Linked DNA regions of Cricetulus griseus. The protein of the gene in region 1 purifies or fractionates together with the protein of each later gene. This does not show direct contact. Links are inferred from orthologs where the notes say so. Each region holds a gene or a part of one and is shown in the gene's direction. Other genes may lie near its edges. The genes, in order: Ptcd3 and Ybx1.

The links.
Region 2: the proteins of Ptcd3 (region 1) and Ybx1 purify together in Homo sapiens (co-immunoprecipitation; 4 studies listed by BioGRID and IntAct, with this or other methods). This does not show direct contact. The link is inferred for Cricetulus griseus from reciprocal best matches to the Homo sapiens genes PTCD3 and YBX1.

What each region holds. Positions count from the first base shown.
Region 1 is NC_048601.1:63,589,567-63,605,914, reverse strand, and holds part of Ptcd3 (pentatricopeptide repeat domain-containing protein 3, mitochondrial), read left to right. Parts: intron 1-1,687; coding exon 1,688-1,811; intron 1,812-3,828; coding exon 3,829-3,944; intron 3,945-6,799; coding exon 6,800-6,855; intron 6,856-8,187; coding exon 8,188-8,275; intron 8,276-9,289; coding exon 9,290-9,350; intron 9,351-9,795; coding exon 9,796-9,881; intron 9,882-10,655; coding exon 10,656-10,800; intron 10,801-11,657; coding exon 11,658-11,708; intron 11,709-15,579; coding exon 15,580-15,669; intron 15,670-15,890; coding exon 15,891-15,919; intron 15,920-16,348. UniProt on the Homo sapiens protein: Mitochondrial RNA-binding protein that has a role in mitochondrial translation.
Region 2 is NC_048595.1:32,878,602-32,894,949, forward strand, and holds the end of Ybx1 (Y-box-binding protein 1), read left to right. Parts: intron 1-4,748; coding exon 4,749-4,782; intron 4,783-6,992; coding exon 6,993-7,082; intron 7,083-7,434; coding exon 7,435-7,737; intron 7,738-8,082; coding exon 8,083-8,165; intron 8,166-10,913; coding exon 10,914-11,148; 3' UTR 11,149-11,179; intron 11,180-11,843; 3' UTR 11,844-12,224; downstream 12,225-16,348. UniProt on the Homo sapiens protein: DNA- and RNA-binding protein involved in various processes, such as translational repression, RNA stabilization, mRNA splicing, DNA repair and transcription regulation.

The sequences.
Region 1 (16,348 bases):
TTCTCTTTTTACAGTTTGCACTTGCTGTTTTGGTCATCCTTGCACTGCACTGACATTGTTGCATATCTTGACCAGGTTTCTCTTCGTGGGCATTGAGGCTGTGCTTCTGACTCCCTGTATTCTGTAATGTGCAGTGTTTGTAGAGTGTCTGCTGAGCAGCCACTTGCACCTCTTTCCTTGTGAGAGTATGGGTGGAGATACCTGCTTCCCAGCCGCTCTTGCCACTCCCTTTCCCTTTGGTTCCCCAAATTCACAGCCTAACATAGCCTTCCTCCTCTCATATTGCAGCTTCTGGTAATGATCAGCAAGTCAGCACAGTTATGTAGTGAAAATATTAAAACCCTGACTTAGAACAATGGCCGTTGTGGGATGGTTAGCTGTTGGCTGACAGTGTTCCTGTGCTTGCCTTTGGGGTCACAGTTGCTGGAAGCCTTGCAGGGGGTCTCCTACCTTGGAGATAGTGCCGAAGCACATTGTACAATAACCAACTCTATCTGTTTGTTGTTGTTGTTGTTTGTGTGTGTGTGTTGGTGATGGAGTGCCGGGCCTCTCTGCCAATAACTGTATCCTGTGTGGGTTGCTTTCCCTATTGTGACAAAAGGAAAGGTCTGGTTAGCTTAGAGTTAAGGAAATAACAGCCCATGTGGTCGGGAAGCAGGAGCAGCAGGCAGGCGGTCACACTACCTGCAGTCAGGGAGCAAAAGCCACGCGTTCCCGTGCTTAGCTCACTTTCTCTGTATGTGCCATCCAGAACTTGTATGGAATGGTACTGCTCACATTTAGAATGGGTTTTCCCAACTCAGTTAACCTGACCTAGAAAATCCCTCACAGGCTTTCCCAGAGTCTTGTTTTTTTTCGGTGATTCTTGATTCTGTGGAGTTGACAGCATAATTACCACTGCTGACTCTCTAATGTCTTAATCTTTCTTCACCAGCAGTACTTTGATGAAAGATAATTCCTAATGCCTAGCTTAGTACTTGGTAAGTGGTACCCACTCCAAGTATATTTGAAAAATTAGTGAATGAGATAAAATCAAGATACCTTGTTGCTATTGGGTGTTCAAAGGAAAAGCAAACTCCAAGAAAAGGTTTTGGCTTTAAGAAACTCATATGCTCTGGTGACTTTAACCAAGATGGGCAGAAAAAGAGGAAGACAAGTTTTTTTGATTTGGGGTGTGTACTGGCTACCTTTGTGTATCAACTACACACAAGCTAGAATCAGAGGAAGGAGCCTCAGTCAAGAAAATGCCTCCATAAGATGTATGGCATTTTCTCAATTAGTGATCAGTGGGGTGGCCCAGCCCATCGTGTGTGTTATCATCCCAGGGCCTGAGTTATATAAGAAAGCAGGCTGAGCAAGTCATGTGAGGCAAGCCAGGAAGCAGTTCCCTGCCATCTGCATTAGCTTCTGCTAGTGTGTGTGTGTGTGGTCCTGGCTGTCCTGGAACTCGCTCTGTAGACCAGGCTGGCCTGGAACTCACAGAGGTCTGCCTGTCTCTGCCTCCCGAGTGCTGGGATTAAAGGTGTATGCCACCAACACCCACCTGAACCAGCTTCTTGATCTTATCTGTATGTTTTATTTTATGTTCAGATGTAAGTGGTATGTAGGAAACAGGAACTGTAGCAATGCTACTGTTATCCTGTTTCCTTTCCCTTTTGTCAAGTTACTTATTTATCTTATTTTCTAGTGCTTAATGCCCGAGTCCCTGGAACCTCAGATTGAAGAGGTGAGTGAAGCTGCACTGAAGGAACGAATCAGACTCAGGAGAGTCAAGGCTTCTGTGGACCTCTTTGATCAGCTCTTACAAGCAGGTAACTCCTCTCAGTCAGAGCCCCTCTTGGAACATGGGGACATTTGATATGATCCCAGTAGTTTGGAGTAAAACTGGCCAATATTGTTTACTTTGTTTCATTTATTTGCTTTTGTCCTTTGCACTGGTAAAGAAAGTGCATGCTGATTTTTCCTTGACCTCATTTTTTTTAACATTAGGTGTGAGAGGGCTAGGCCAGATAAAACAGAAACATGATGGATGGTGGTGACAACGCCCTTAATACCCCATACTTGGAAGGCAGAAGCAGGCAGATCTCTGAGTTCAAGGCCAGCCTGATGTACAAAGAGTTCCAGAACAATCAGGGCTACACAGAGAAACCCTGTCTTGAGAAAAACAGAAATATTTTATTTTTTGTGTATGTTTTGTTTGCATGAGTATCTGGGCATATGTGGGTATGGTGCCTGAAGAGGACAGAAGTGGGCATGAAATCCTCATTAACTAATTTACCATCATTTTGGGTGCTGGGAATGAAACCCAGGTCCTATGAAGAGCAGTGCTCTTAACTGCTGAGCCATCTCAGCCATTATCATTAAATTTTAGGAATCTAGACTCCTGTTTAGTGAATTAGAATAAAAAATATGTTAAACATGGAAGAAATGGAAACTGGAAAAACCATTGAAAATACAATTTGAGCCCAAAACATTTTTTTATACTCTTGAAGCTTTTCATAGCATCAGACAGACACATAACTGAAGGGTGATAGCAGAGCATATGTTCTTCTGCTTCCTGAATGTCAGCAACACTTGGGATGGATCTGTAGTGTACACACTTGGTGCCACTTCTACTTTTGCCCACGGTGGTACAGGTGTGCCTTTAGGTTTTTAGGGTGTCATGTCACTTAAACTAGCCTCAAACACTTTGTAATCAAGAATGACCTTGGACTCCTTTTTCCTCAGTGTCTTGAATGCTGGTGTTACAGGTATGGGCAGTCATGCTGAGCTTAATGAATTAGATTTGTTTTTGTGTGTATGAATGTTTTGCCTGAGAGTGTGTGTGTGTGTGTATGCATGCCACATGCTTGCCTCATAGTTCTGGAGGTAAGAAAGGATCACCTGGAACTGAAGTCATGTATGGTTATGGCAATCAAAGTTCAGGTTCTCTGTAAGATTAAAAATGCTCCTGGTCCCAGAAGCATCTCTCCAGACCCCTCTCTTTTTCTTTCTTTTGAGCTTTTCTCTATAAAGTGAGTGCTGACATGGGAGTATCATTTTGAGGGTTTTTGGTTTTTCTTGTTTTTTGATTTTGTTTGTTTGTTTGTTTGTTTTTTCAAGACAGGGTTTCAATGTGTAGTTTTGGAGCCTATCCTGGCACTCCCTCTGGAGAACAGGCTGGCCTCAAACTCACAGAGATCTGCCTGCCTCTGCCTCCAGAGTGCTGGGATTAAAGGCATATGCCACCACTGCCCAGCAAGCTCTAGGGTTTTGTGTTGTGGTTTTTTTTGTTTTGTTTTGTTTTTTGTGGATTTTTGAGGTGCTGGGAGTCAAATGAGTTGTTCTTAAGATAATTATTTTTATGCAGTTGTGCTAGTATTTCTTAGTAAATTTTCAGTGAGTGCCTGAATCCAGTTGGAATAATTATTTGTATTTATTTAGTGGGTCTGGTATAAAGGTATTAAGTGAAAATTCATTTGGACTAGCAGGTCGTTCTTCAGTGACAAGTTCCAGAGAGGAAAGGCCAAGGGTTCAGAAAACAAAGAAGATGGAAAAGCAGGGGTCAGAAGGTCTCACACAAACTGTCTCTTATGCCAAACAAATGTATTAAGAAATACGACATCTTATATATAGTTTATAGGGGGGAAATGGGACAGAATCTGCAGAAAGCCATTATGGATTATATTTGTTAATTGGTAAAATGGTACCAGAGATTAAGTATGTAGCCAAATAAGCCACCATTAATACAAAAAGTGAAGAATTTCCTCTAACAGGCTTTGGTTCTTGGATGTTTGAAGGTTTCTTTCTTGTTTTCTTTTTCTTTTTTCTTTTTTCTCCTAACCACAGGAACCACAGTCTCTCTTGAAACAACTAATAGTCTCTTGGATTTATTGTGTTACTATGGTGACCAAGAGCCCCCAGCTGACTGTCCTTATCGACAAACTGAACATGCAGAAAACTTGGTAAAAAGAAAAGAAAAAGAAAAAACTTGGGTGTTTTGTTTCTAAAATATTTTCTCAAAATGGGCGAGGGTGCTGTCCCATATGTCATACATAGTAAAGGGTCTATACTGAGGTGGAACTATAGCCTTCACTCAGCAATGATGAAGGAAGACACATATGAAATGAACAATTGTTTTTATTCGTTTTTAATCGGTGTTATACAAAATAGTGTGTTTTATTATGACATTTTTATACATGTATATAATGCATTTTAATAATAGTCCCTCCCCCTTTACGCTCTTTCGCCTTTCCCATTGGTCTCTTTCATCTTCCCAAATGGTCCTTCTTATACTTTGTTCATATGAGATAAAAACAAGCAAAATCTGTTTTTCTGAGTCTATGTATAATCTCTAGTTCCATCCATTTTCCTACAAATGACATAATTCTGATCTTTATGGCTGACTAAAACTTGGGTGTGTTTCTGTGCCACACATTTTTTGTGGAGGTGAACCTGGGGCCCTGCACATGCTAGACAAGTACCGAATCATGGAACTCTAGCTCCAGTATCACGTCCCCCTTTTTGTTTGTTTGTTGAGACAGGGTCTTGCTAAATTGCTTGGACTACCCTTAAATTTATATTTTGTATGCCTCAGCTTCCTAAGTAGCTGGGTTTGTAGGCTCCAATCCCAGTATAAAGGCAGAGGCAGGTGGATCTCTGAGTTCAAAGCCAGCCTGGTCTACATGGTGAATGAGATCCAGGCTAGCCAGAGCTATATAGTGAAACCCATCTGAAAAAAACAAAATCTATTGGGCATGTAGATTGATGCCAATTGAGCTATTATAAATAGGGCCATAATAAATACAAGTATGCAAGTATCTCTACAATGTACAGTTTTTCAGGTATGTGCATGGATCATGGAATGGCATAGCTGGGTCAGATGCTGTTTTGACAAGCTTCGTGCTGAATTCCATAGTTGTTCCAATAGTTTTATGTTTCCACCAGCAGTGAGCGTTTAAGGATCCCTTTTATCCTGCAGCCTCAGCAATGTTTGTTTGTGACTAGAGTGAGGTAGAATCTCAGTATAGTTTTAATTTAATTTGTGTTTTTTATTTGGAACAATTATTTTAACTATATTCTACTTAGCAATATTTTGTCTTCATGTACTAAATACTCAGCAGAGGTTTGGCCAGAATTGTTTGAGCCAGCACTTTGGTGACAGCATGTTGTGTAAAGATCAAGGAAAGACTCCATATTTTGTCACTGGTTACCTTTTGCTGAAAAGTTGTACATACATGGCCAGTAAGATAGTTCAGCAAGTAAAGGCACTTATTATATAGGCCCAAGAGCCCTGAGTTTGATGCCAGGATCCCATGTAAAGGTGGGATGAGAGAACCAGCTGCTCAGAGTTGTTCTGTGATCACCCATATGTGTGCTGTAGCATTTGCAGGTCCACACTGAACACACAATGCATTTTTAAAATTTATACAGATGTGGGCAGAGAGGAGGGAGCATGTTGCCCTTATGCCAAGTGTTGCCTGTAGGTGGAGTAGTAGCTGTCAGAGTTAGAGGGTTTATTTCTAGAAATAGATTTCAAGGGATCCTTTGTATCTGGTATATAGAGTTATGTATGGAACGTTTTTTCTCAAACAGTATGGATTTATGCCTGTACTTGAAAGATCCTGAAAACAGTGTAGATAGCCAATAGTAGCTGTTAATAGAGCCCTGAATGGTCCGGAAGTAAAAGATTACTGAGCATCTATATCCCCAATCCAATTTTTATAACTGAAGTGCTCCAAAATCTGAACTTTTTGACTATATTAAATGGGAACTTCCACACCTGGCCTTATATGACTTCATTCTTTCAAAAATTCTTTATGTTGTATGTATTTGGAGAATGAATTTCATGTTTAAACCTCATCTTTTGGATAAGGGATTCAATCTTTGTTATTTTTTCTTAATCCATTCAGACTTTGTTCCCTTCCTCTCTTCCATAAGGGAGAGAAGAATGTCAAACTTTGTTATTTTTATATAAAGTTTTTTCATTTGCAGACAGTGAAAATTTGTTTTTTTGAGACAGGGTTTCTCTGTCGCTTTGGAACCTGTCCTGGCATTCTCTCTGCAGACCAGGCTAGCCTTGAACTCATGTAATTCCTCCTGTCTCTGACTCCTGAGTGCTGGGATTAAAGGCACGCACTACCACTACCTGATTTACAATGCAAATATTTAAAAGTGTTTCTGAGTAATGATATTATGTTCTTTGTCCACTAATTGTGGGTTATTTCCCTACATAGTAACTAGTGTTGTAAAGTACTCATTCCTGTGACCATGTAGAACATCTTTTGAACCCTTCCAGACTGGCCCCCATTCTTCCAAGCCTTGCTCTTGAAATAGCTGGTTGACTACAGAACTAACCCTGGCTTCTGCAAATGCTAGTCAGGCCTCTATGTCTGCCTCATCCCAGATGATTCATTCATAAATAAGTCTTTTAAAGGTCCTTTAGCTAGTATTAGACATACTAATGTCAATTTCTCTTGCTTTGACCCCATGTGTACAGTATTTTTCTGAGACAAACCACTTGTGGCCTCTGTAGCAGTAGATTGCACTTTGTTTTGTTTTCTACATTTAGACAGGCCACATAGGGCATTGCCTTTGTCTTATCACCACATGATCTCTTAAGAACTGACTTGGCTTTCCTCTGTGTTTGGTGATTTTCACACTGAAGGAATTGGATGTGGGTGTGAACATTTTATTAAGTTCCTCTTTGCCTAGAGCTAATCTGTTATTTACTTTAGTTTTCTGAATTTCCTTTGCTTTTCTGATTTTTCAAGTAGTCTGCTAGCAAATATTGTCTTACCTTTTATTTCATCCATTCTAGGAAGAGGCCACAGAGACAAATGTTCAAACCTCCAAGATGAAGACTATTCCTTGGAAGTATGTTGCATATGAGAACCTTGTATTTTGGGGATTTTACAGTACATGCAAAATACTTTACATTGTCCTCTGGAGTTGAAATCCTGAAATGTTCTAAAACAGATTTCTTTTGTTTTTTTTTTTCTTTTTTCGTCTTTTCTGTGTATATGTGGAACTGGGTTTCTCTGTGGTTTTTGGCTGCCCTGAAGCTCACTATGTAGAACAGGTTAGACTTAAACTCACAGAGATCCTTATGCCTCCTTAGTGCTAGGATTAATATGTGTGCCACTACACCTGGCTTCTTAGTTATTGTTATATTCAAGATTCCATCTAGCCCAGGCTAGCCACAAACATAGACCATTCCTGGCTCTGCTCTCAAGGCCTGGTATAACAAGCGTACAATATCACTTCGGGCTTAGATTACTTTTTATGAGAGTGTTAACTCCTGCCACCATACAAAAATCTTTGGGTTTGTCCCGGGTGTCCTTTTTGGTTTTCCTTTTTTATTTATTGAGAGTTCATGCATTTTTGTTTATTGGAAATACAGTTTGAAAAAAAGTAAATAACAGTATGTTTGAACCTTTAATTAAGGAGTGCATGAAATAAAAATAAATATTCTATGTGGATCTATAGAGAAGAAAGGCTACCATTAATACCAGAAATTGAGATCAAGAGAAATGGCTTAGTAATTTTTTATATGAAGGCTTGAGTTCCGTTTCCAGCACCTGTGTGCCACTACACCTCTAACCTATGTAAGCACCAACCCATGTGACACATTGAAACAGATGGCACACTCGTGGGCCTTGTAGAAAGATCTTGGGTCATATCCTAATTGTCTGGTTTCTATAATATTAGGGTGTTTGGGATACAGGAAAATGTATATAAGGTGTATTGCTTTTTTCCCCTCTAATAAAGGTACAGAATTGCTCATGCTAGAGTCATGCTTGCCTCAGGAAGCAGGGTAGGGAACAGAGGAGAACCTCCATTGTGTATCTTTTTGGTTTTTTAAGACAGGGTTTCTCTGTGTAGCTTTGGAACCTATCCTGGCACTCGCTCTGTAGACCAGGCTGGCCTGGAACTCACAGAGATCCGCCTGCCTCTGCCTCCCGAGTGCTGGGATAAAGGTGTGCGCCACCAACACCTGGCCCATTGTGTATCTTATGTGCAGAGTATTTTGTTCTTTACCCAGGGACCCTGAGTTATTCATGTCCAGACAACTTCAGATCTTTGACCCTCCATTTTTGAGATGATAACCCTGTCAAACTCTGGGTTGTAGAATGGTTATGTGAAAAAATGGCAATTACTACTAATTTTCCCAGTGCCTCTGATTCATGTTTATTCTGTTGTTTCTAGAGCACAAAACAATGCTGAGAGAATCTTTGCTCTGATACCCGAGAAGAATGCACGCTCCTACTGTACAATGATCCAAGGGATGGTGAAGGTATCTTCCTTTATTTTTATCTTGAAGGTCTATTACGTTGGATGAATAATATATTTGGGGGTGGGGTCGGTTCTGAGCATGATGTCTATTTGCATCATTCAATTTTTATGCAAATAATGAAAATAGTTCTACCTCAGGGTCTCAGTTTGTAGGTCAGCTGGCTAGGCCGTTAGGGAGACAAGGCTTAAGTTCACAGCAATTTGTCTGCGTCTGCCTTGTCATTAAAGGTGCTCCAATAGCTAGCAAAAACTTTTTTTTCTTAGAGTGCCTTTAGATTCAACATTTCTTCCCACTGTATTCTCTGGAGTAATTGGGAACATGGGCATAAACTACAGCACTTAACATGATCATTTTATGTAATACCTTTGTGAGTCTATGCTCTGTCTTGTAACCTATTAAATGAGGTCCTATTCATGACTTTATATCAGCCCTCTAAATTTTTTAGCTTGGAGGCATTTCAAATTTTGGATTAGGGATGAATGACCTTTATTATAGTTTTGTGAGTTTTTTTTTTCTTTATTCATGTATGTGTGCATCTGTCTGTGTCTTAAGTGTATGAAGGAGTGTGTATGTGCATGTGCGCGCTTCCGTTGTGTGCCTACATTGGGTAATAGAGGGTGTTGATCCCTTGGAGCCAGTTACTGCATTTATTTATGAGCCACCTGACATGGGTGTGGGAATAAGAACTCTAGACCTTGTGATCGAGCACCAAGCACTCTTAAAGGCTGAGTCAGTCACTTCCTCCTTGACGATAAGAGGGTTGGAAGCTTCCCTTTGTGTTGTGAGATGTTGTCTCCCACCTTGCCGCCACCCCATTTCTACTCATTAGATGTGAGTTACATGCTCTTGCTTCACTCTCAGTTGTGATGACTGAAAATGTCTAAGCATTGCTAATGCCCTCTGGAAGAAACTTACTACACTAGGGTACGAGCTTCTGAGAATTGGAGGCTCCTGTTTTGTGTGTTCACATTCCAAATTGAGAACACTTTGATGATGTTGCTTTTTCCTCTCCAGCACCGAGCTTATGCACAAGCACTGAACTTGTACACCGAGTTATTAAATAACAGACTTCATGGTGAGTCTGGGGACTGGCTTCCACCTGTGTATTCCCTCAACTCAGTGGTTTCCAACCTTCCTAATGCTGTTAACCTTTAATACAGTTCCTCATGTCGTGGTGACCCCCCCAACCATAAAATTATTTTGTTGCTACTTCATAACTGTAATTTTGCTAGTGTGGTGAGTCATACTGTAAATGTCTGATATGCAGGATACCTGGTGTGCACCCACTGGTTGAGAACCACTGTTCTAACAAGAATCAGTTAGGTTTTTGGAAGTTGTCTCAGTTATTGGGCCACAGTTATTGTTTGGGGGGTTGTTGTTTAGATTTTTCAACTTTTGTTGCCATACTAGTGATTAAAATGGGACCAGAGAGCTAGTTCTATGATCATTTTCTCTTCACCTCAGCTGTTTTCAGGTAAATTTTCAACCTCAAGTTTTGTTAAAGTATTTTTCTTTTACAGCTGATGTATATACCTTCAATGCATTGATTGAAGCTAAAATGTTGATAGCCAGTGAGAAATTTGAGGAAAAATGGAATAATATACTGGTAAGGAAACAACCTTTATTGTCTTCTACCCACCTTTGACTATGAAATATTAATTTATCATTTATGTGGTGGCAACTGCTCAGTACTCTGCCCTAGCTTAAGAAGCCTCTCTATTATGGGGGAAAAAACAAAACACTGATTAATCAATTATTACATAGCAAGGATTCAGGAAGAGTTGGGACACTTAATGTATAATTGATTTCATTGTTAATTACAAAAGTACATACCTATTATAGAATTCTAGCCAGCGAAGTTAAATTGAAATCACTGGAGAGATTTTGTCAAAACTTAGAACGTGTTTTTACATACCATGGGCGCTTCTATTTTAGTCTCAATTTGGTAGAAGACTACAGATAAACACCTTGATTGCCTGTGGTGCATGATAGGATTTGGGGAGACAAAGATAACCTTGATCCATGACAGTGTAAGGAGACTTTCTGGAAGATGGGATCCCTGGTAGATAGTTCTTTGTCCCTTTTTGGTTTTGTTGGTTTTCTTTCAGAAAACGTCTCACTGTCCAGCCTTTACGAGTCTGGAACCTGATATGTAAATCCAGGCTGGTTTTCAACTCACCGAGATCCCTTGCCTCTGAATCTCAAGTACTGGGATTAACGATGGGCTTCCAAACCCGGTTGTTCAGGTTTTTTTAAGCAGATAGTTACTAAATTAGAGTATGGGTGCTAATTTTTTTCATATGTAGCCACAGAACTAAATTATTTCAGTAGTTTTGGCAAATTACCTTGGAGTAAAAAAAAAAAATTTCCTGTTTCTTAGGATCTGCTGAAACATATGGTTGCACAGAAGGTGAAACCAAACCTTCAGACTTTTAATGCTGTGCTGAAGTGTCTCCGGAAGTTTTATATGCATGGAAGGCTCCCAGCCTTACAGACATTACGTGAAATGAAATACCTTGGAATAGGTAAGAATGCATCCTGGCTCCTCTCTGAAGATGAGGTGTGCTGACTTTTGGTCTCAACCACAAAAGCCAGAAGTGTTTATATTTTTACTATTGCTTTACTGTTAGGGTTTCCTTGTGGCATTTGTAACTTCACATGAAGTTGGTTCTTTGTATCTATCTCTGCAAACAACCCCAGATAAAAAAATGTTAGGTAAAAATAATTGTAAATATGTCTACACTTGTATTGGCCATTACTAAACAACACAAGTATTGGGGTTGCATTTGTGGCATATCAGGTTTTGGATCTAGAAATGCTTTGAAGTATACAGTAGGATGTGTGTGGGTTATGTGCATATAATTCCATTTATATTCACGTGCCATGGATACCAAGTGATAACTGTCCGCTATGACAGGAATACTTTATCACTTCATGTTCTTTACAGTAGATATTATTGTTATTTAACATTTGAAATACTTTTTCTGTAATTCTCTTAATTTTAAAGGGAGTTGATTGCTTTTTTGGCCTGTTTTAAATTTCAGGACATTGTTCTAGCATAATTAAATATTGTGACCCAAATTATGTGCCACTTTATATTGTGAATAATTTAGTAATTGCTTAATTTAAGAATAGTTAGGCAAGCTGGGCAGTGGTAGCGTTTGGCTTTTATCCTAGCACTAGGCCAGCGTGATCTACAGAGCAAGTTCCAGGACAGGCTCCAAAGCAATACAGAGAAACTCTGTCTTGAAAAACCAGAGAGAGAGAGAGAGAGAGAGGAGAGAGAGGGGGGGGGGTCTTTTGCTTAAATGTTAATGTTGTGTTTCAGCTTCATTTTAGATAACTTATTTTTTTTTTTTCTCTATCTGCCTGGTAATTTGAGAACCCTCACTTGCAACATACCATCATATTATTCATCTCTTTTATCACCGAGGTATGTATACCCTTACATTATTTTGGTTTGTATGAAAATTGGCCATCTCTATTGAATTTATGTAATTGTTGCAGTACTTGCTCTTCATATGAATTAATAGCTCAGTGGCTAAGCGCACCGGCTTTCAGAGGACCCGGGTTCAATTCCCAGCACCCACATGGTGCCTCACAATTATCTCTAACTCCAATCATCAGGGATTGATGCTTCTTTTGGCCTCCAAGGGCTCCAGGCACACATAAGCATACATACAAACAAAACATCCATACACAGCCTGGCATTGTGGCACATGCCTTTAATCCCAGCACTTGGGAAGCAGAGGCAAGTAGGACTCTATGAGTTTGAGGCCAGCCTGGTCTACAGAGCAAGTTCCAGGACAGTGAGGCTACACAGAGAAACCCTGTCTTGAAAAACAAACCAATTAAAAAACAGAGAGGTCAGCCCTGCGTGGTCTTGGATACTTGTTAAAAGAGTCAAAGTTGGAGGTCTGCCACACAGTTATTTCCAAAAAAAAAAGAAAGAAAGAAAAGAAAGTATATAAATTAGCATTTACAGTTTGAGCAAACGGTTAATCTTGAGAGTAGAAACCTTGATTGTGATATGAAATACAAACTGGAGAGGGCTATAAAGTGTACTAGCATTCTTGGACTATAAAGAATAGGCAAGGTGGGTAGTTAAGGGTTCATTTTGGTCTTTAAAACTGCTACTCAGTATATTAGCTTAGTAATCACATATAGGTTGTTTCAGTTTATTTTTTTAAAAAATATGTGACATTAGGGCTCAGCAACCATATTCTTTCTCTTTGTGGTTTCCAAGAATGAAGCTCATGTGTCATTAGGTTGTCGGCAATTACTGTTATGTAACCCTGACCCATCTTACCGCCCCACAAATTACCCATTCTTACTCTGCCTAACTGTCAGTCTTCCTCACATGGTTCCCTTCTACTTGCATATATCATAAACATATGTATCTTCATGATCTAGATTTCATGTGGAAGAGGAATATAATAGTTGTATGATTTATTTTGCTTAATATGGTGATATCAAGTTGTTTTCATACAAATGAGATGTAACCGTTTCTCTTAAATAGAACTCCATCATGTATTCCAGACCCTTGTCTGTAATCTCTGAATTAGAGAAGTCAAAGCAGGCCGATAAGATGTTCAAGGTCACCTTTGGGCCAGCATGTTCTTGCTATCTGAGTCTCAGAGAAAGGTAGAAGGGAGCCTAGGAAGATAGGTCAGTTAAGAAAATGCTTGCTACCCAATCTAAACACTAGAGAGATTGATCACAGAACATAAGTGTTGTAGCACATACTTGTAGTCCTAGCAGAAATGGGTAGACTCTTCACTTTACCTTAAGGCCACCCAACCTAGTCACTTCCATTTAAGTTGCTCTTGTCATTGCTTTTTAATCATAGCACCATGTTACAAAAAAGGCAGATGGGTCAATGGGTTAGGTCTTCAAGCCTTGGTAGCTTAAATTGGACTCCAGAACCAGTGTGAAGCCAGACTAGGTAGTGGGTGTTTAATCCCGGCGTCCATGGTGAGATAGGAGGAAGAGACCATAGAACCCCTAGAAGCAACTCACAGGGGAACACAAATTCCTGATTTCTGGACCTTAGAGTTAGGATTAATAAGCATATGCCATATGTACTCCACTACTGATGTCCTTTTCAGAAGTCCTTGCCTATGCCATGGTTTTAAAGTGATGTCTCTGTGGTTTTCTTTAGCAGGTTCAGAGTGTTAGATCCTTTATTTGACCCATTTTTAATTATTTCTGTGTGCAATGAGATTATTTTTTTCTACATATAAAAACAGAATTTTGAGGGCCACAGAGATGGCTTAAGTCAGTGGTTCTCAACATTCCAAATGCTGTGACTCTTTAATACTGTTCCTCATATTATGACCCTGAACCATAAAATTATTTTCATTGCTACTTCATAACTGTAATTTTGCTACTGTTATGAATCATAATGTAAATATTTGATATGCAGGATCTCTGATATGCCACCCCTGTGAAAGGGTCTGTCAACAACCCACAGGTTGAAAACCACTGGCTTAAGTGGTTAAGAGAACTTGTAGATCTTCTCAAGGACCATGTTCCACTCCTAGCAGCACCCACAAGCTCACCACCACCTGTAACTCCAGCTTCTGGGGATCTGGCATCCTCTTCTGGACTCCCAGAACACCTATACACCTGTGGCACACATTCACAGACATCAGTGGTTCTCAGCCTGTGGGTTTCAACCCTTTCATGGGTCCCATATCAGATATCCTGCATATCCAGTATTTACAGTATAAATTCATAACAGTGGTAAAATTACAGTTATGAAATAGCAGTGGAAATAATTTTATGGTTGGGGGTTGATACAACATGAGGAACTGTATTAAAAGTCCACAGCATATGAAGATTGAGAAACACTGACACACTTGAGTAAAGTAATTTAAAGAAGAAAGAAAAATAATTTTCCTAGTACCTCCTGTGTTTCTACAGTATGTTTCATGGCTGTGCCCTCTATTCAGTTCTGCTAGCTACATGTGTGTTTTTATGGTAATGTAGTATAGAAGTAGTGTGTTTTTAAGGTAATGTAGGGATTTATATACATTAAATAATGTAGTATTTAAGAAGGATTCTTAAATACACTGAGTTGTCTCTTCAAATGGAGAACAATAGATCCTATTTTCCTTCTAGAAGGCTGGAAACAGATATGGTTGTTAATAGCCTGGTAACATTACCTCTGCACTACCTGTATGGTCAGGCCTTACTGGCTTACCCAGACCCTTATCGTGTGTTTTGTTTATTTTTCACCTGCCTTCTCAGTTAATGTAGAGAACCTATCATTATGGAAGATTCCCAATATCACTTGTACTTTACAGTAGTTTTGATAGTCATGTCTTAAGTTTTGTTGTACACATGAGACAGAGTTAATTATTGCCAGGAAACTTTCTCCACATTGTGCTGTGCTTAAATATGCCTAAAATAAACTACTTGGTGTCATGCTTTCAGAGTTTGAACTAGCACCAACTATTGAGTTATATTGAACAGGACTTCTTCTTGCCAAGTACAGTTTTTGCCCTATCAGTATCTAGTAACTTTTTCAAACCCCAGTTATTTTGCCATGTAGCATAGAATGTCTTGAACTTGCTGTGCAGTTTAGGTGAACCTGTTTGATGACCTTTCTATTTTAGTGTTGGGATGAACAAGCAAGTTTGGCCATGGCTGGCTCGTGTGACTTCTAAGAACTGCCCCATTCATTGATCTGTTCTGCAGTTGGGTTTTTTTCTTGGATTCCTTACCTGTTCCTTAAAAGAACATGGGGCTGGAGAGATGACTTAGAGGTTAAGAGCACTGACTGCTCTTCCGGGGTCCTGAGTTCAATTCCCAGCAACCACATGGTGGCTGGCAACCATATATAATGAGATCTGGTGCCCTCTTCTGGCCTGCAGGCTTATATGCAGACAGAACACTGTATACACAATAAATAAGTAAATAAATAAATAGATAAATAAATTTTTAAAAAAGGACACAGGTACCACCAAATGATTCGATTAAGTGTGTTGGTTTGGGATGAGGGGCTGTTGGTATTTGTTCCACTTAATAGAAATTTGAGCTTCTCAGGAAGAAATGAATAAAGATGAAGTCTAACTGGACCATACAGACATAGCATAATGATTCTTACAGATTTTACAAAGACTTGGGCTCTGGGCTATAGAAGATTCTTTCACAAGTTTTTGGTTCTGTCCAACTCTGCTAGGTCTTAGGCTAAAGATGGAGGCAACAGATAGGAGGCCTTTATAACTGGGGCTGTGAAGTTGGTTCTACTTATGGAAGTGGACTCCTAATAAACACCCATTTGCCTTACTTTTCTGCAGGCAGCTCTTTAAAAACGTCATCCTTAATCATCTATGACATCATGAATGAATTAGAGGGAAGGAAATTCTCTCCACGGGACCTGGATGATGGTAGGTACAGAAATTAATTGTGTTATTCCTCCAGCTAATGACAGGAGGCTTGCTTGAGTGCCATTATAGGCCTTGTGTTGAAGGCAGTGTTTATTTAGCTAAGTAACAATATTTGGATTGAATATTCTGAGAAAGCCAAGATGTCTGTGGCATATTTATATTATTGATATGTAAATACTGTTATATCCATAGCAACCAAACTTTTGAACTTTGGTTTTCAGATAAATTTTTTCAGTTGGCCATGAATGTGGTAAGTGCCATTTCCTTAATTAATTGTGCTCCAAAGGTTCCTCTCTGTTTCCTTGTTTTATCTAAGTGGGTGCTTCTGCATGTTCTTTCACTTTTAACTCTTTCCTTCATGCCTTTGCTTCTACTTTCTTTTGTACAATCTGTACTTTTAAATCATCTCCTATCTATTCTTTATTGCACTGTCCTTTTTCATGCTGTTTTGATAAGCTTTCAGAATATTTTGCCCTTTAGCTTTGTTAAATCCATGAGAATAGATTGTTATGTTTATTTTCATTTTATCATCCTAGGAAAAACTTCAAGTTTTCAGGATGAGTAGTGAGCATCCTGTTTGTTGAGAATTGTGTGGCAGCCTAGTAGCTATCTTCTGGGGTTTTCCTCTGACAGCTCATGGTTATTCAAATGTTTAAATGTATCCCTGTGGTAGTGGATG
Region 2 (16,348 bases), on another chromosome or scaffold:
GCTGGCTAGTCCTCTGGTATTATGGATTGCCTTTTACTATATTTCATAAATTCCAGTTTAGTGTACAAGTCAGCTTTACAAATTGAAGAACTTGATTCATGTCATACTGAGATTGATGCAGTTGAGTGTTGTCCCAAGCAGACCTGGTGGTATCATCCTTTATTGGTTGGTTTTTGAGATGTGGTTTCTTTGTGTATCCTTGTTTGTCTTGGAACTAACTCATGCTGTTGACAAGGCTGGCCTGGAACTCAGATCTGCCTTGCTTCTGCCTCCCAAGTGCTGGAATTAAAAGGCGTGCCCCACTCTGCCTACCTGTCCTGGTTAGTTTTTTCATTTTCTTTTTTGTATACTTGACACAACCCAGAGTTACCTGGGAAGGGAGAAGCTGCTCCTTTGAATTGCCTTGATCGGGGAAGTGCCTGTCTGCCTCTAGGAACCTTTTTTTCCAAACAGGGTTTCTCTCTTGCTTTGGAGGTTGGCCTGGAACTCAGAGAGATCAGCCTGTCTCTGCCTCCTGAGTGCTGGAATTAAAAACGTGTGCCACCAACCCCCAGCTTGCCTCTAGGATTAAAGGCCCCCACCACACGTCTGGTTTTACTTTTTTGTAAAGGCTGCTTTTTTACTACTTAGCTGGGATGTCGCTCTGGCAGGATGGGCAAGTGTGTCTTGGTCTTCATACCGTAAGGAAGCTCTGTAGTCACTGCCAAGACCAAAAGTGGCACAATACAAGAAATCCTTGGCCACAGCCATGAAGGCTAACCCTTTTAGGTGCTTCAAGTACAAAGGGAATTCTGGAGAAGCTAGGGATTGGGGTCCAGCTCATCAACAGGGCTGGTGATGGTTTGAGTTTCACTGAGGGAAAAATGAAGTTTTGGTTGCTCAGTGGTGGCATTGCTATAGAGTCCACTTTCAGGTTAAGTAACTTTCCATGTCTCCATGTAAAGGCAAGAAGAAAAGACCAAGAACATAAATATTGATGGTAGTAATGTGTTTTCAAAAAAGTTAGTTAGCTGAGTATATAATTATATATTTCAATACTGCAAAGTCTGCAGTACTTTAACACAGTGTTCTTGGTAAAAATGAAAATATGGTAGGTTGGAAAGATTTTGGCCAAAATCTCTTGGGCTTTTATTTTTTATTTTTATTTTTTAAAGATTTATTATGTATACAATATTCTGCCTCCATATATGCTTGCACGCCAGAAGAGGGCACCAGATCTCATTACAGATGGTTGTGAGCCACCATGTGGTTGCTGGGAATTGAACTCAGGACCCCTGGAAGAGAACAGTCAATGCTCCTAACCTCTGAGCCATCTCTCCAGCCCCTCTTAGGCTTTTAAAGTCACCCTGGTTTCTGTCTCAGAAGTGTCTTAATGTGTATCCACTAGAATAAGTATTGCACAAGAAAGTCTGAGGATTCCTTGACAGTGTTTAAGAAAGGGACATGCAAGAAGTTGACAATACTGTGACTCTTGGCTTGCACACAAGACTTGAAGAGTGAGCAACTGCTTACCTGTTACCGTATTAATTACTGATGATGGGAGTCTCTTCGATCGGTGACTGACTTAAGAGCTCAGAACAGAATCCTTATCTTGTAGTGGTTCTTTCCCTTTTTCTGCCAAGTAAAGTCATTTGCTCTTAATTCCCCAGAAGGAGCAGCATGTATCTTACCCTTAAGCTTCCTTATCCTGAGACTGTAGTTGTGGAGTTAGGTGGCCTTCAGGCCTGTCTAGATCCTTGGAAGCATCTGTGGTCACACCTGGAAAAGATATGTCTGCCTAGAGAGTTAGTAAGGAATTAAGTGGGATTTGTGATTTTAGGGCAAGCCTTAAGGCTTGGTGCAAACTATGGTAGTGGTTCTATTAGTATGTTGATCATTTTGTTAATGAACTTATCTTAGGTCTTATTTATGTCTCTTTGGGTTGGGGGTTTTTTGTTTTAACTTTGGGAACCTTGTTGGTCTGGGTAGATTAAGTAGAAATGAAATAGTAATTGTAGAGAGCTAGCTAGGGTTTGAATGATAGGCATAGCCAGTGAATGTTTTAGGGGCTTAATAAATATTTAGCATATTGCTGTAGTGTGTGAAACATGGTAATGAAAGGAGGAAGCTGTGTTTGTTTTCCTTCTGACCTACATCAGGAAAGCATATAGGGATTCTTGTGTTTTAATCTTCCTCTAAAGGTAAAATGTGAGCTGAAAAGATGGCTCAGTGTTTACAAGCACTTGATCCTCTTTCGTAGGACTCCAGTGTCAGTGAGATCAGACACCCATTTGTAGCCCCCACCCCACCTGAACACCTAGCATATAGATATTTTTATTATTATTTTAAGGTACACTGTAAGGATTTTTTTTTTCTTTTAATTCCTATGTGTGGATACCGGAGCCCCCAAGAAGTTGGTAGTCAACACTATGAATAAACAGCCACAGGTTGTATTTCAGTTCCTTTGTGAAGATGGTAGGGGTTAATGACGCTACCTATGTCAGAATTGTGGGGATAAATGGTATGTTCCAAACACCTAGTGTAATCTTCAGTGATCCAGGCTGCTATCTATATGTGTACCACAGATACCATAAGAGGACATTGAGTCTTCTGAAACTGGAGTGGCAGGTAGTTGTAGGAGTTGGGATCCAAACCTGACTTTGAGAAGAGCAAGTTCGCTTAATCACTGGGCCAACTCTGTAGCTCCTACAGTATTGATCTTCTTGCAGGTAGAGAAGAAAACAAAAAGTAAGGGGATAGCTTTGCTTTCCAAGGCTACAGGACTTTGGGGGGGGGGGCTGTTTTTGAGACAGGGATTCTCCATGTAACAGCCTTAGCTGTCCTGGAACTCCTGTAAACCAGGGTAGTTTAGAACTTAAAGTTCCACTTGCCTCTACCTCTCAAGTGCTGGGTTTAAAGGTGTGCGCCACCACTGCCCAGCAGCTACAGGACATTTAATAAAAGTTTTCAAACACATAGGAATCAAGTTCCTTCCTGACATCTACATACACTTTGATATATTCCTCAATCTAGTCTAGTTACAAGACAGCTGCTGAGACAGGCCTTTCTATGTGTATCTACGAAGTATTTCTTAGGGAATAGTATTGCCTTATTGCTAGCATTATCCAATTTTAAAAGCTAGATAAATAACATTTTATAACCCAGAAGTAAGTTCATGGATAACTGTTGATCATTAACAAAAAAAAAATACCCTTTGGAAATTTTCTTTTCATTGAATTTAAAATACTGAATTTTGAGACAGGGTCTCTTTATAGCCCTGGCTGTCCTGAAACCCAGAAATCTGTCTTCCTCTCTGCCTCTCCAGTATTGGGATTAAAGGTTTGCAACATCATGCCCAGCTCATTCATTTTACTGCATTTATTTTGGGGGGAATTGGGAACATTTGGAGGTCAGAGGACAAGTTGCAGGAATTATCTAATTATCTGTAAATGGGTTCTAGATCAAACCCACATGGTCTAACTCATATTTTCAGTAAGCACCTTTACATGCTGAACCATCTTATTGGCACCATCAGTTTAAGTAAAGGATATTAAAACAATAAATGGCTAGGTTGGATGAGGTAGTACAGCAATTGAGAAAAACCTTTTTGCTTTTTACCAGTGTGCCAGTGGTGTCTTTTGGTCATTAAATGCTAATATTAGAACTAATACTGAACCATTTCTCTGGCTTCCTAGTAGTGAAGAGGGTCACTAACAAGGAAATCTGTTCCTCCAGTGGTTCTTTGGGGTCCTGATGTTGGTCACCCCTGCCCACATTCAAAATACAAATGATTCCCCACTTAATCCTCACTTCCAGTTTCCATTTACTCTTGGTTTCCTCCATTTTGGTCCCAAGAAAGATAGCCTAAATATCTTCATTGGATGGTTGTTTAGTCTAAGACTTTGTCAGTTCCTGTCTCAACTTTGACCTAACTTGCTGGGCTTTGCTTATTCAGATGTTTCACTGCATTTTCTGCAATAATCACACCACATTCTTCTAATGAAAGACTTTGTTTTCTTGGTAATGATCCCAACCAGGGCTGTGGAAACTGAGGCAGAATTGTCACAGTGCAAGCTGTCAAAAGAAAGCTTGGCTAAGGATTGTGATGTCTGTGATGGGGGGGGGAACAGTGTTAGGCACATAAATAAGGTGTACATAGTTTACATGAAATTTCATTCTGTTTTCTAGAGGACTTTATGTGGTCATTTTTATTGCCTTAGGGAATTTGGAGATTAGAATTGTGAGGAAGTGAGAATGACTACTCCAGCTAGTACTACTGGTCTATAGGGAAAGGGGTGTGGGCAGGTTATTGTTAATGTTTAATAAGGTAGAGTTTCTTGTCATTGCTGTCCTTTTGAATTATGGCTCATTTGGTTACACCTTCTTAGACTTGTTTGCTTTCCTTACAAGAAGTGAGTGGGCTTATCACTGTTTCCCAAAGTTTAGTCTTTAAAGTAGTTGGTGTAGCTTGTGTTTTTACTGTATACACACACACACACACACACAGAGATAGTGAAGGTATAGCTGGTAGTCAATCACCCACGCTCAAAGTTAAAAGATAGAAATGATTTTCTGCTTAAACAGCTAGGAAATCTCTGGGAAAATTGAGGCTGTCCACTCACCAGGCAGTTCTTTGGGGTTTTCAGGTTGCTCTATGTAACCTGACTGGCCTGGAATTTGCTTTCTAGGCCAGGTTATTCTTAATCAGTTGTAGGCAATGAAACATAATTGTTTTTTCACTTGGTTTTTTTCTTGGTTTTGTGTTGTAGGAATGACACCAAGGAAGACGTATTTGTACACCAGGTGAGTGCTTTTATTGATTCTCTTTACTTCTGGCTCAAGGCTTAAGAGAAGAAAAGAAAGGATGGGTGTGTTCTCAACTGTTTTGGCTCTAAAGGTTAAGTTCAAGAGTGAGTTTATTTAGTTCCTGAACCTGAAGATTTAGTGTAGAGTGAAACATTGCACTGAAGAGTCCACTTAATTTAAAAGTGTTAGATTTGGAGTTTCATTAATAAATTTAAAATGTTGAATCTGTTCAACTGATGGCACACAGTTTTCATGCCTAGTTTCAGACAAATAACCACCATGAATTTAACCTTGAATAATGTGCTATAAATACACGGAAACATTGGCAAGGTATTGCCAGATGCTGTTAGAGTCAGGTTCGCTTTGGTAAGGACAAATCTTTATGGGACAAAGCTACAAAACCATTACATGAAGAAAATAGGGAGCCAGCACTGACTAGACTTTCTGTTTTCACCTTTAGAGTTGACTGGAAAAATAAATCCTCACTAGTAATTTAACTCATGTGAAAGGCACTGCAAGAGTTGTGATTGGTCCGTAAATTACTTTAATTGGCTGCCAGTGTTTGGAGGAGATAGAAGTACATACTGACTAGGGAAATGACTGGACATTAAGTTAAGAATTATTGGTAACTGCTGGGTGGTGGTGCACACCTTTAGTCCCAGCACTAGAGAGGCAGAGCAGGAAGATATCTGAGTTTGAGGACAGCCAGGGCTACACAGAGAAACTCTTGTCTGGGGGGTGGGGAGGGATTATTGGTAAGGTAAGATGCTGCCAATTGAGTGGTATACTGCCAGCATCTTCACACAGTGAAGTGGATTAGGGAATACTTCACTTCCTGTGTGCTTCCACGTGATCAACTTGTTGAAATATCCACTTGTGTTGAAAGTTATTTTAAGAATTTTCAACCTTTTTTTCCCCCCTTTATTTCTTTTTTTTTTTAATTGGGGGGAGACCAAAAGACCTAGCAAAGATTAAATTAAAATGCTTGTTTGGGTAAGGTGACTCTTACCTGTACTTACTACAAGTTGGAAATAAAATGAAGATTTAACAGACAAGAAACAGCAAGGGTTATTAGTCTTGCTGCCACTGATAGCCATGAGAGATTGGAAGGGGCTAAAGATGGTGACTAACATGTTTGGGGATTTTAATGCATACTTCTACTATCCCTATGACTGCAAATAATTGAGTTGGCTACATATGAAAGGTATGAAACTATACGACAGTTCAGATGACAGATGAGATCATTTATTTGACTCAACTCACCCAGTCTTATCCCATAAGGTGTCACCAATATGCTTTCCTATTTATTTTGCAAGTGGTATCAACATAGAGTTGTTCTTGGGACTTTGGCTACGAGGTTGTGGTGGTGTATCAAGTAGACTGCAGTTCTGGGCACCGGATCTTAATTGGCCTCAGATTTGTTGGTTGTCCGGCCTCCTCTGGAATAGAAATGCATGAGTGATCCTGTAACGGATACTGCTGTGATGTGGAATGAACTTGGGATTTGGAGTCCTAAGACCTGGATTTAGAAAAGTTCCCTGCCACTTAATAGCTGTGTGACCTTTGGCACTTCATAATTTTTAAGCCCTATATAATGTAAGACTTAACTGTTTTCTGGGGAGGTGGTAACCAACAGGTCTCTTACAGAGAGAGATATATACGAGTGGCATAGATACATGTGAAATGCATTTCCCTGGAAGTAGTCATTATAGACAGGCTGGAAGGGATTTTGCTTGACATTTGTAATTGAGTTTGATATGGTAAAGGGACAAGAGTTGGTATGGTCAAAGTTGAAGCATGTAAAACTAAACTTGCCTGTCATCTAAACTGGCCGTGTGTCGGGCTAGCTTCTATTAAGTGCAGTCTTTGGGGGATAGATGGAGGCCTTATTTTGTTCCAAGCTTTATATGTGATGCTTTTGCAAAAAGTATATTAAAACACATTGTTGTCTGTCTTGGGTACTAAATTACTTAGTTTTGTAAATAGTGGTAAAATGCTGGGGCCTTGTAAGATTGGAGTCTCTTGGTAGAGGTTGGGGGTAAGGTAACATTGGTCCCTGCTTTCCTAAATTATTGACAGTTTGGTCTTACATAAAGCAAATTTTAAGTATATATCCAAGCTAAAAATGATATTGACGCTGGTACATTTTAAATGAAAAAAGCACATTCTTCTCCCCTGTTAATCTATTTTTGGAATGATGTTACTAGACTGCCATAAAGAAGAATAACCCCAGGAAGTACCTTCGCAGTGTAGGAGATGGAGAGACTGTGGAGTTTGATGTTGTTGAAGGAGAAAAGGTGAGGATGCTTTTTGTGTAAAGGTTTGACTTCGGTATGGAAATAATTTGGAGATTTCATCCATTAGGATGGTGGCTCTAATTGGATGGATGATGTGTTCTGGTGACCACATGAACACAGGTGCATCAAGCCTAACGTGCTGCTGCAGTTAGAGAACAGTCCCTTCAGAAGAGTGAGGAGCTGATGACGCAGTCATTCCTATGCACCCTTTCCCATGCAGACAGCCTCCCTCGTTTTTTTGTTTGCTCTTGGGTTTTTTGTTTTGTTTTTTTTTCCCCCTCCCCAGCTTGAGTGAAATTTATTGAATATTTGGATTTCTTTTGTTATTGTCAATAAATAATGGCTTTTGTAGGGTGCGGAGGCAGCAAATGTTACAGGCCCTGGTGGAGTTCCAGTTCAAGGCAGTAAATACGCAGCAGACCGTAACCATTATAGACGCTATCCACGTCGTAGGGGTCCTCCACGCAATTACCAGCAAAATTACCAGAATAGTGAGAGTGGGGAAAAGAACGAGGGATCGGAAAGCGCTCCTGAAGGGCAAGCCCAACAACGCCGGCCCTATCGTAGGCGAAGGTTCCCACCTTACTACATGCGGAGACCCTATGGGCGTCGACCACAGTATTCCAACCCTCCTGTGCAAGGAGAAGTGATGGAGGTAAGTGCCAGTATGTATGCAACAGCATTTTTGCTGTCTCAGGGCTAGTGCTGAGTGAGCACCAACCATACATACTCCTTATAACAGCCTTTGAGAAAGACTATTTTAACTTAATCGTGGAAATTTTCCCCTAAATTAACCTGTTACCACAGAATGCACTTTTGATTATGAAGAAACCACCAAGCTTGTTAATGTATGGTGTGATCATAATTATTAGATATCTTGTACTCAGGAATTGGAATTTGGCCAGGAAAGTGTTTTCTGGTTTGAACTTCAGATTGGGATTTTGTTCTTGTTGTGGACCCAATAGACTTTAATTTCTAATGTCTTCTGATGTCTTTTCAGGGTGCTGACAACCAGGGTGCAGGAGAGCAAGGTAGACCAGTGAGACAGAATATGTATCGGGGTTACAGACCGCGATTCCGCAGGTATGGTCCATCGTAACCTGTTTCTGTTGCATTCTTCAGCCAGATGTTAGGCCTCTCCAGCATCGTGAGTTAATACTTCATTCTCTTTCACTGATGCATAAGAAGTGCTCCTGAAGTGAGTAGTCTTTGAGAATGTGTTCTTTCTTTTTGGTTTCTCTGTTTTGGAGCCTGTCCTGGGCTCTGTAGACCAGGCTGGCCTGGAACTCAGAGATCTGCCTGCATTTGCCTCCTGAGTGCTGGGATTAAAGGCCTGCGCCACCAGTGCCTGGCTGAGAAATGTGTTCTTTCCAGCTTTGTCACTGCTTTTATAGTCACAGCTTATATAGTTGAAATCTACTGTATATGGTTCTGTCCCCGAACAGGTAAGAGTATTTCAAATGACAGTATCTAAACATGGCTTACTTAGGAAGGGAGAAAGGTGAGGGTAATAAATAGAAAGTCCTGTGTAGTGGTGTTTGAGGTAATAGGAGCTATTGGAATAATAGGAAAGGCTTCATGTGCAAAGCTGGATCTGCTGGACTTAGAGGAAGGTTTAGGAGTTAGAGAACCCAATGAGGTTATATAACTATGCAGCAACAGCTAGTGCTCCACATCCATGGAGTGTTTATATTATCAGCCAGTTTCTCACCCTGTCCCAAATTTGGGATTGAACCCAAAGACCACTTATCTGACAGATAGGACTCACCGGTGAGTGTATTGTGTATGTCATCCTTGGGTGTCTTTCTCAATCATTTACCTTAGTTTTTTTGAGTCTTTACTGGATCTGGAGCTCATTAATTGAGCTAGACTGGGTTTCTGTCCTTGGTGCTAGTACTCAAACGAACATCACCACCCAGCTTTTTGGGTTTTTGGTTTTTCAAGCTTCTCTGTGTCCCTGCCTCTGTAGCCACACTGGCATTGAACTCTGCCTCCGGCATCTGCCACCAGTGCCCAGCACTTTACCACTTGATCACTCTCCCGGCTCCTCTCCCTGGCATTGTTCTTTTCTTTTCTTCTTTTTTTTTTTTTTTAAGACAGAATTTAACTAAGTTGCTTGGGCTGCTAGCCTCAAACTACTCATCTTTCTGCCTCTACCTCTTGAGTGGCTAGGATGGAAGACATGTTACACAGCACCCAATAGTACCAAAACATGGTCAGTGTCTAAGCTTATGTGCCCTGTGGTGGTTGGATTTTTATTTTTGAGACAGGACCTCATGTAATTCTAACTGGCCAATACTCAGTGAAATTGAGTTGCCTCTGCTTCCTCGGGCCTGGGATTAAAAAGAGTGAAACACCACACCTGCTGTCCTTGTCCTGTTGGTTTTGAGGCAGGGTTTTTCTATGTAGCCCTGGGTGTTCTGGAACTCTGTCTAGCCCTGACTGTCCTCAAACTCAGATCCAGATCTGCCTGCCTCTGTCTTCTGAGTGCTAGCTAGGATTAAAAGGGTTTGCCCTGTCCTGTGTTTTTAATTCAGATGAATTAGGAACCTTTTCTTGGTTAACTTTTAGATTGATTTTATTTGAAACATTACCTGCGTGTAACACATGTATGATGGTGTCCAGAAAGCATCTGATGTTCTGGAATTGATGTTACGAACATGAATTGTGGGTGCTTGGGGACCACTGGGGCATCTGGACTACTCCCTGGTGAATATGATTTGATTGTGTTGTCCTTGTGCTGAATTCTTTCTGTTTTTAATGTTGATGACTTAATGTTTTTAATGATTTGGAAATTCTTCAGTGCTACACCCATTGCCATAGCCTAAGTATAAAACGTAAAGCATGCTCTCCTATCAGTATATATTAGTCTATAGTTGTCAACAACAGAATCTTGGGTGTGCGAGTGTAGCTTAAATCTCTTGCTAGTTTCACTAGTATCTTGAGCAAATATATTTTGGTGGTGGTTTAAGTTAGAGATACTGCCAGGTGGTGGTGTTTCTGGCTTTTAATCCCAGGCATAGAAGGCAGGCAAATCTGAGTTTGAGGCTGTGAGGGACACCTTGATCCATAGAGTGAGTTCCAGTATAGCCAAAACTACAGAGAAACACTCTGATTGCTTCCTTACATAGGCTTTTGTTCCTTGATTTGTTACAGCTAATGTTCTGTATGTGTGTGAATGTTTTGCCTGAATGTATTATATCTGGTGCCTGTGGAAGTCAGAAGAGGTTGTGGGTTCCCCTGAAACTGGATGGTTCTGAGGAGTTAGGGGTGGTTGCTAGTCACCATGTTGGTGCTAAGAATCAAACACTGGTCCTCTGAACAAGTATTTTTAACTGCAGAGCTATCTCTCTCTACAGCCCCTTGAATTAATTTTATAGTAATTTTTTTAAGTTTGCACAAAGGGTATGATTTTCCAACCATGCCACAAATCTTAAGACACATGGATAGAAAGTATGGATCCTTTTGATGGAATGGAGTTAAGAAGAAAATGTGTGGTCAAGAATTTTAGTGTATGATAAATAGAAATGATAGATTAGAACATACAATAGAACAATAGTTACTAGCAAGAAAATAAGTTGAGTAAAAAAAGTATTGAATTGAGTGCACCAGCACTCAATTCCAAGCATTTAAGCAGCAAGCTCAGCTTTACTGGCCTTGGTTTATATGAATGAAATGAAGAAATACACCTTTTATACAGAATCTTTTACACTTGGCTTTTGGAAGTAATTTACATTTGCTAAGCTGTCAGAACAACCAATAAAAGAAAATGGTAGGTATAACCAAGTACCAAGTATTATCACTCTTGAAGTTATATAATGTTCATTTCAGGGGCCCTCCTCGCCAAAGACAGCCTAGAGAGGACGGCAATGAAGAAGACAAGGAAAATCAAGGAGATGAGACCCAGGGTCAGCAACCACCTCAACGTCGGTATCGCCGCAACTTCAATTACCGACGCAGACGCCCAGAGAACCCTAAACCACAAGATGGCAAAGAGACAAAAGCAGCCGATCCACCAGCTGAGAATTCGTCCGCTCCCGAGGCTGAGCAGGGCGGGGCTGAGTAAATGCCGGCTTACCATCTCTACCATCATCCGGGTAAGTAGTCATCCTCTGCGGTTCACTGCACTGTGCACTGGTGCAAAAGAAACTAAAAACAGTAATAGAGTAAAACAAGCACTTTATTACTGTTCACTCTAATCCAAGTTAGACAAAATGTCTCCCTTTAGATCAGTCTTCATGTTGTATGTTTTGACTATGAACTTATGTCTGTCGGTCAACTCTGTGATCTTAGCAGAAAACTAAGTCTTGCTCCTGGTTCTCTGGAGATATATTCCAGCACTAGAAGCAGAGGCAGGCAGATCTCTGAATTTGAAGCCAGCCTTAAATCCTCCAAGCCTAGCTTCCATTTGGCTTTACTTGCCGATAAAAGACTAAATTCAGCCTGTCAGTGGTGGCACACACCGTTCATCACAGCACTTGGGAGGCAGAGACAGGGGGATCTGAGTTCCAAGACGGCCAAGGCTACGCGGGGGGGGGGGGGGGGGGGCAAGCAAGAAAAGAGAAGAAAGTATCTCTGGCTCTGGGCTTGTCATTTTCTTCCCCTTTGTATGTGCTGAGTAGCAAAAGATCATCCATATGCAGTAATGTCCACTCCTGTTATGAATCATTCTTAGGCTAAAGCAAAATGAGGTAGTTAAAATGTGACTGATTGGTCCACTATGTGAAGAATATGGTAAATAATGAGTCTTTCTCTTTGCAGTTTGGTCATCCAACAAGAAGAAATGAATATGAAATTCCAGCAATAAGAAATGAACAAAGATTGGAGCTGAAGACCTTAAGTGCTTGCTTTTTGCCCGTTGACCAGATACACTAGAACTATCTGCATTATCTATGCAGCATGGGGTTTTTATTATTTTTACCTAAAGATGTCTCTTTTTGGTAATGACAAACGTGTTTTTTAAAAAAAAAAAAGGTCTGGTTTTTCTCAATACACCTTTAATGGTTTTTAAATTGTTTCATATCTGGTCAAGTTGAGATTTTTAAGAACTTCATTTTTAATTTGTAATAAAAGTTTACAACTTGATTTTTTCAAAAAAAAATTAACAAACTGCAAGCATCTGTTAATAAAGGTCTTAAATAATAGTGTCTGTCTAGTTTTGTCATAATTTGGTAATTTCCTCCCATTTTCACGATTTTTAGAGTGAAGCGGTTTACAAATGGGTGTCCTCCCCCCAAAGGGACACTTTCTTAAGATCAGAGTCTTTATCTGGGTGCTTAATCAGCTAGTTGTCCATTTTTATGTATAAGTGAGTTAGTCTGTCCAGAATGCTCTATGTAAGACATCAGCTGTGGAGTCTGGAGATGGAAAGGTTTCTTTTGCTGCAAAGTAAAAGGGTAGAGGAGTTTTGCAGTGCTGTTGAAAGTCCAAGTGATGTTTCCCTCTATAAAAGCTCCATAGAATATAAGATACTGCATTAGAGAATTTGGGATGGGGAATAGTGGGTGCTCTTTGTCAACCAAGTCTAACAAACTTGGGACCATTTCTTTTTGGTTTTTAAAGACAGGGTTTCTCTGTAGCTCTGTAGACTAGGCTGGCTTGGAACTCAGAGATCAGCCTGCCTCTGCCTCCCACATGCTGGGATTAAAGGTGTGTGCTACCACCGCCCAGCTGAGATCATTTCTTTGTAGAAGAAACTAATCAGAATCGATCGGTCATACCTATCCTTACTAAATATGGTAAGGGTGTGTTAGTGTTCTGAAAATAGTATTGTCAAGAGTGCAGCGAAAAAATGACTGTTGTGAATGTATCAGTAATGGAGACTATTTAGTTAAAACCTAATGTGAATGTGTAGATGCCTGTATAAACCAGTTTTCTAGAGAAGCCATGAGATTGCTATATAAGCATTAAAGAATTTATCAGGTCATTTTTTATATTAAAATAGCAACAATAACTGAATGACAATAGAATCTGGTAGTTGCTCAATCCTTGAAGATAGGTGCTTTAGCAACCTTACCTCCTGCCGAGAACCTGGAAAGTGAGCTATATGTCGTCATTCCAAAGTGGAAGCTTGCAAGTACTGCTTCTAGAAGCTGGAAAGAAATCAACAAGCAGCAGAGCAAATCAACTCAGCAGCAATAGGGAAAACCAAGGAAAGCAATCTGCCCTTTTTATCTGGTCTGCTAACGAAAGGTCCTACCTAGTATTTGGTTTTCCCATGTCAATATAATGAGGACATTCTTTGGATTGTGACTCCCTACACTCAGTGAATTCTGGTTTGTCACAAATTGTGAGGAAGTGCTAAAAATTAGCAAATATGATCGAGGTTGGAAAGGAAAATGGCCCAGGGGTTAGAATTGTAAAAATGCCTCTGGATTCGGGGGTGGTTGTCAACCCATCTTTGGATGAGTGGTGCCTGGTGTCAGGGAGGGACCAGCTTGGACTTGAGGTTGGTTCATGGGTGTCTGACAGATGTGGCAAGTTAATGGTTCTGTTAGAAACTTGAGGCTAAGGACATAAATGATCTGAATGAAGTTAAGTGAGTAAAAATGTGTGGCTGGGCATGCTCACACATGCCTTTAATCAGGTCCACAACACTGACACCCAAAGGACTAGTCATCTGGTAAGTTCTCTACTGCATGTTTCCCACTTTAGCAGGGTTTGGTGGTGCATTCAGGAGACTGGCAGGAGGATCTACATAGCCCCAGACCAGCCAGGACACCTCTATCTGAAAGCAAAAAGCTAGTCTCTAACTTTGCAGAGGCCAGTGTCTTACAGGAGACTCATGTTCACTGTTTTGTTCCAGTTTCCTTTTCCTGAAATGTCCCCACCACAAAGCTTTCATACATTTCCTCTTGGCTGTAACAGTTACTGAAGATAGCCAAATGACTTTCTCCCTCAGTTTTTTAAAGCCTGTGGTTTAGAAGTTTATTCCTTACTGATGTGCTTAAAAGTGGCATCCTCCCTCTGTGTATAAGCTCTCCTAGTTGTCTGGATTCCTGCCTTGCTACTTTATTTTCCTGTCTTTCCCAAGTAGAAGATAAGCCATGTGAGGGCAGGAAGGTTTATGCTTTGTCTGCTGAGTTCAAAACAAATTATCAAATGTGTTGAAAATGATAGCCTTGAGTTAGTTTGGCAGTGGATGGGTTAATGGCTGTAGCTGCAAGGGAGGGAAGATGAGTAATGTAACTGGTATAGACCTGGGGGCCTAAGCAGCCGATGTGAAGATTGGCAAGTCAGTTTTAGTCTTGTGATATGGCTTGCAGTTACAAGAAAGGTTACCTTCCTGCTCTGTCAACAAGGCAGGGAGGAGCCACTCCCATTATGAGGGCCCCACCCTTATGACCTCATCTAAGCAGAATGGCTTCCTGCTGTGACTTGGCTCTGGAATATATCCCAAAGGCCCCTATGTTATCAGCTTGCTTGCCAATAGAACTGGGGATATTTTGGTGGGAGGTCTCATTTTACTAAGGGACATGCCCTCAAGAGTTGTGAGCTTGAGGCTTCAGCCATGAAGGAAGCACCTTTGTTCTATATGCTTCTGATATGACTGGCTGGCTGACCACAGACCCGGAAGTAAGGGGAAGAGGGCCAAAAGTCATGAACAGAAACTTGAAATAGCTATGTTCATCTAAGGATAGATAGGGTTAGGGAGAGTGCTGGGCATTGAACCTCAGGGTCTTGTGCTTGTATACTGCTAAGTAAGCACTCTACCAATCCGGGTTTCAGGATTTTATTTTACTGAAAAGCTCACAAGCAACCCAAAGGTTCCACCAAAGAACCTCATGTGTGGGGGTTAGGGCTTCAACATGAATGGGTGCAAGGTACCCTGACACAATTGTACCCATTGCATTGTATGGTGTGCACATTAACAATAGCCAAGTAAGTCTCCTAAAAGTGAAAGTATGGATCAGTTATACTAGAATGAAAGGGTTTCTAACTTAGGAGCCTGTCTGTCCCAGAACCTGCTCTGTAGACCAGGCTGGCCTCTTACCTCCCCAGTGCTGGGATTAAGGGTGTGTGCCGCCGCTGCTACCTGGCAGAAAGGTGGTTTTTAACATTTTACTGTGAAAACTAACTGTAAAAGAAAATGGGGGTGGGGGGCTGGAGAAATGGCTCAGAGGTTAAGAGCACCGACTGCTCTTCCAGAGGTCCTGAGTTCAATTCCCAGCAACCACATGGTGGCTCACAACCATCCAAAAATGAGATCTGGTGCCCTCTTCTGGTGTGCAGATATACATGGAAGCAGAATGTTGTATACATAATAAATAAAAAAAAAATCTTAAAAGAAAATTCAGGGAGTGGGCTTTAAGGAACGTAGAAAAATAGCAAGACTTAAGTGCCCCTTACCAGCAAGTACTTCAGGTGGAAAAAGTGGGTTTAAAGTCTCCAGTCAAAAGACAGATTTTAATGGATAACAACAGTGAGCTAGTTATATGACTCCCATTAGGTTTTGAGACATAAATGAGCGTGTAAGGATCAAAAAGAAAATCCACACAAATATTTAATTGGAAGTGACCAAGAGTGGTGGGGTCAGAAGTTGACATCCTTCACCTTATGTTTGGGGTGGGTGGATCTGTTTGCTTTCTTGGAGGCAGGGTATCTCATTGAACATGGAGCTGCTGATTCAGCTGTGCTGGCTGGCCAGCAGTCTGCCCCTTGGAGTTTTGTGTGGTGCTAAAGACCCAGGTAATCTTGCTTACGCAGCAGGCAATTTTATCAACTGAGCCATCTCCCCAGCCTGACATGCCATATTGACCAAGCAAAAGTATACTTCAAGAAAGTTAACAGTGGGACTGAGGAGGTGGCTTAATGGGTAAAAAGCTGAGCAAGAGCAAGCCTGATAACTAAAGTTTGATTCTCAGAACCGGATCAAAGCCAAGTGTGGTAGCATGTGTCTATGATTCCATGCTGGGAGATGTGGGGTGGAGACAAGAGAATTGCTCCCCTGGACTAAGTACATAGTGCAGCCCCAGAAATCACGGACCCTTCCTCAAAACAAAGTAGTAAAAAAGAATTTACTGGGAAGTTGTCCTCTGACCACACACACACTGTGTCACACATGTCTGCATGCAAGCATGCATACACACACAAAAATAATTTATAAGGCACAATGCCATATTTTAATAAGCTCAAAGATAGCCAGGAGAAATAGCTTTTTTTTTAAAGCTTTTATGTGGATGGCTGTTTTACCTGCATCACTTGTGCACCTAGTGCCTGCAGAGGCCAGAAGAGGATGTTTGGAACCCTGGAACTCTGGAGATGCA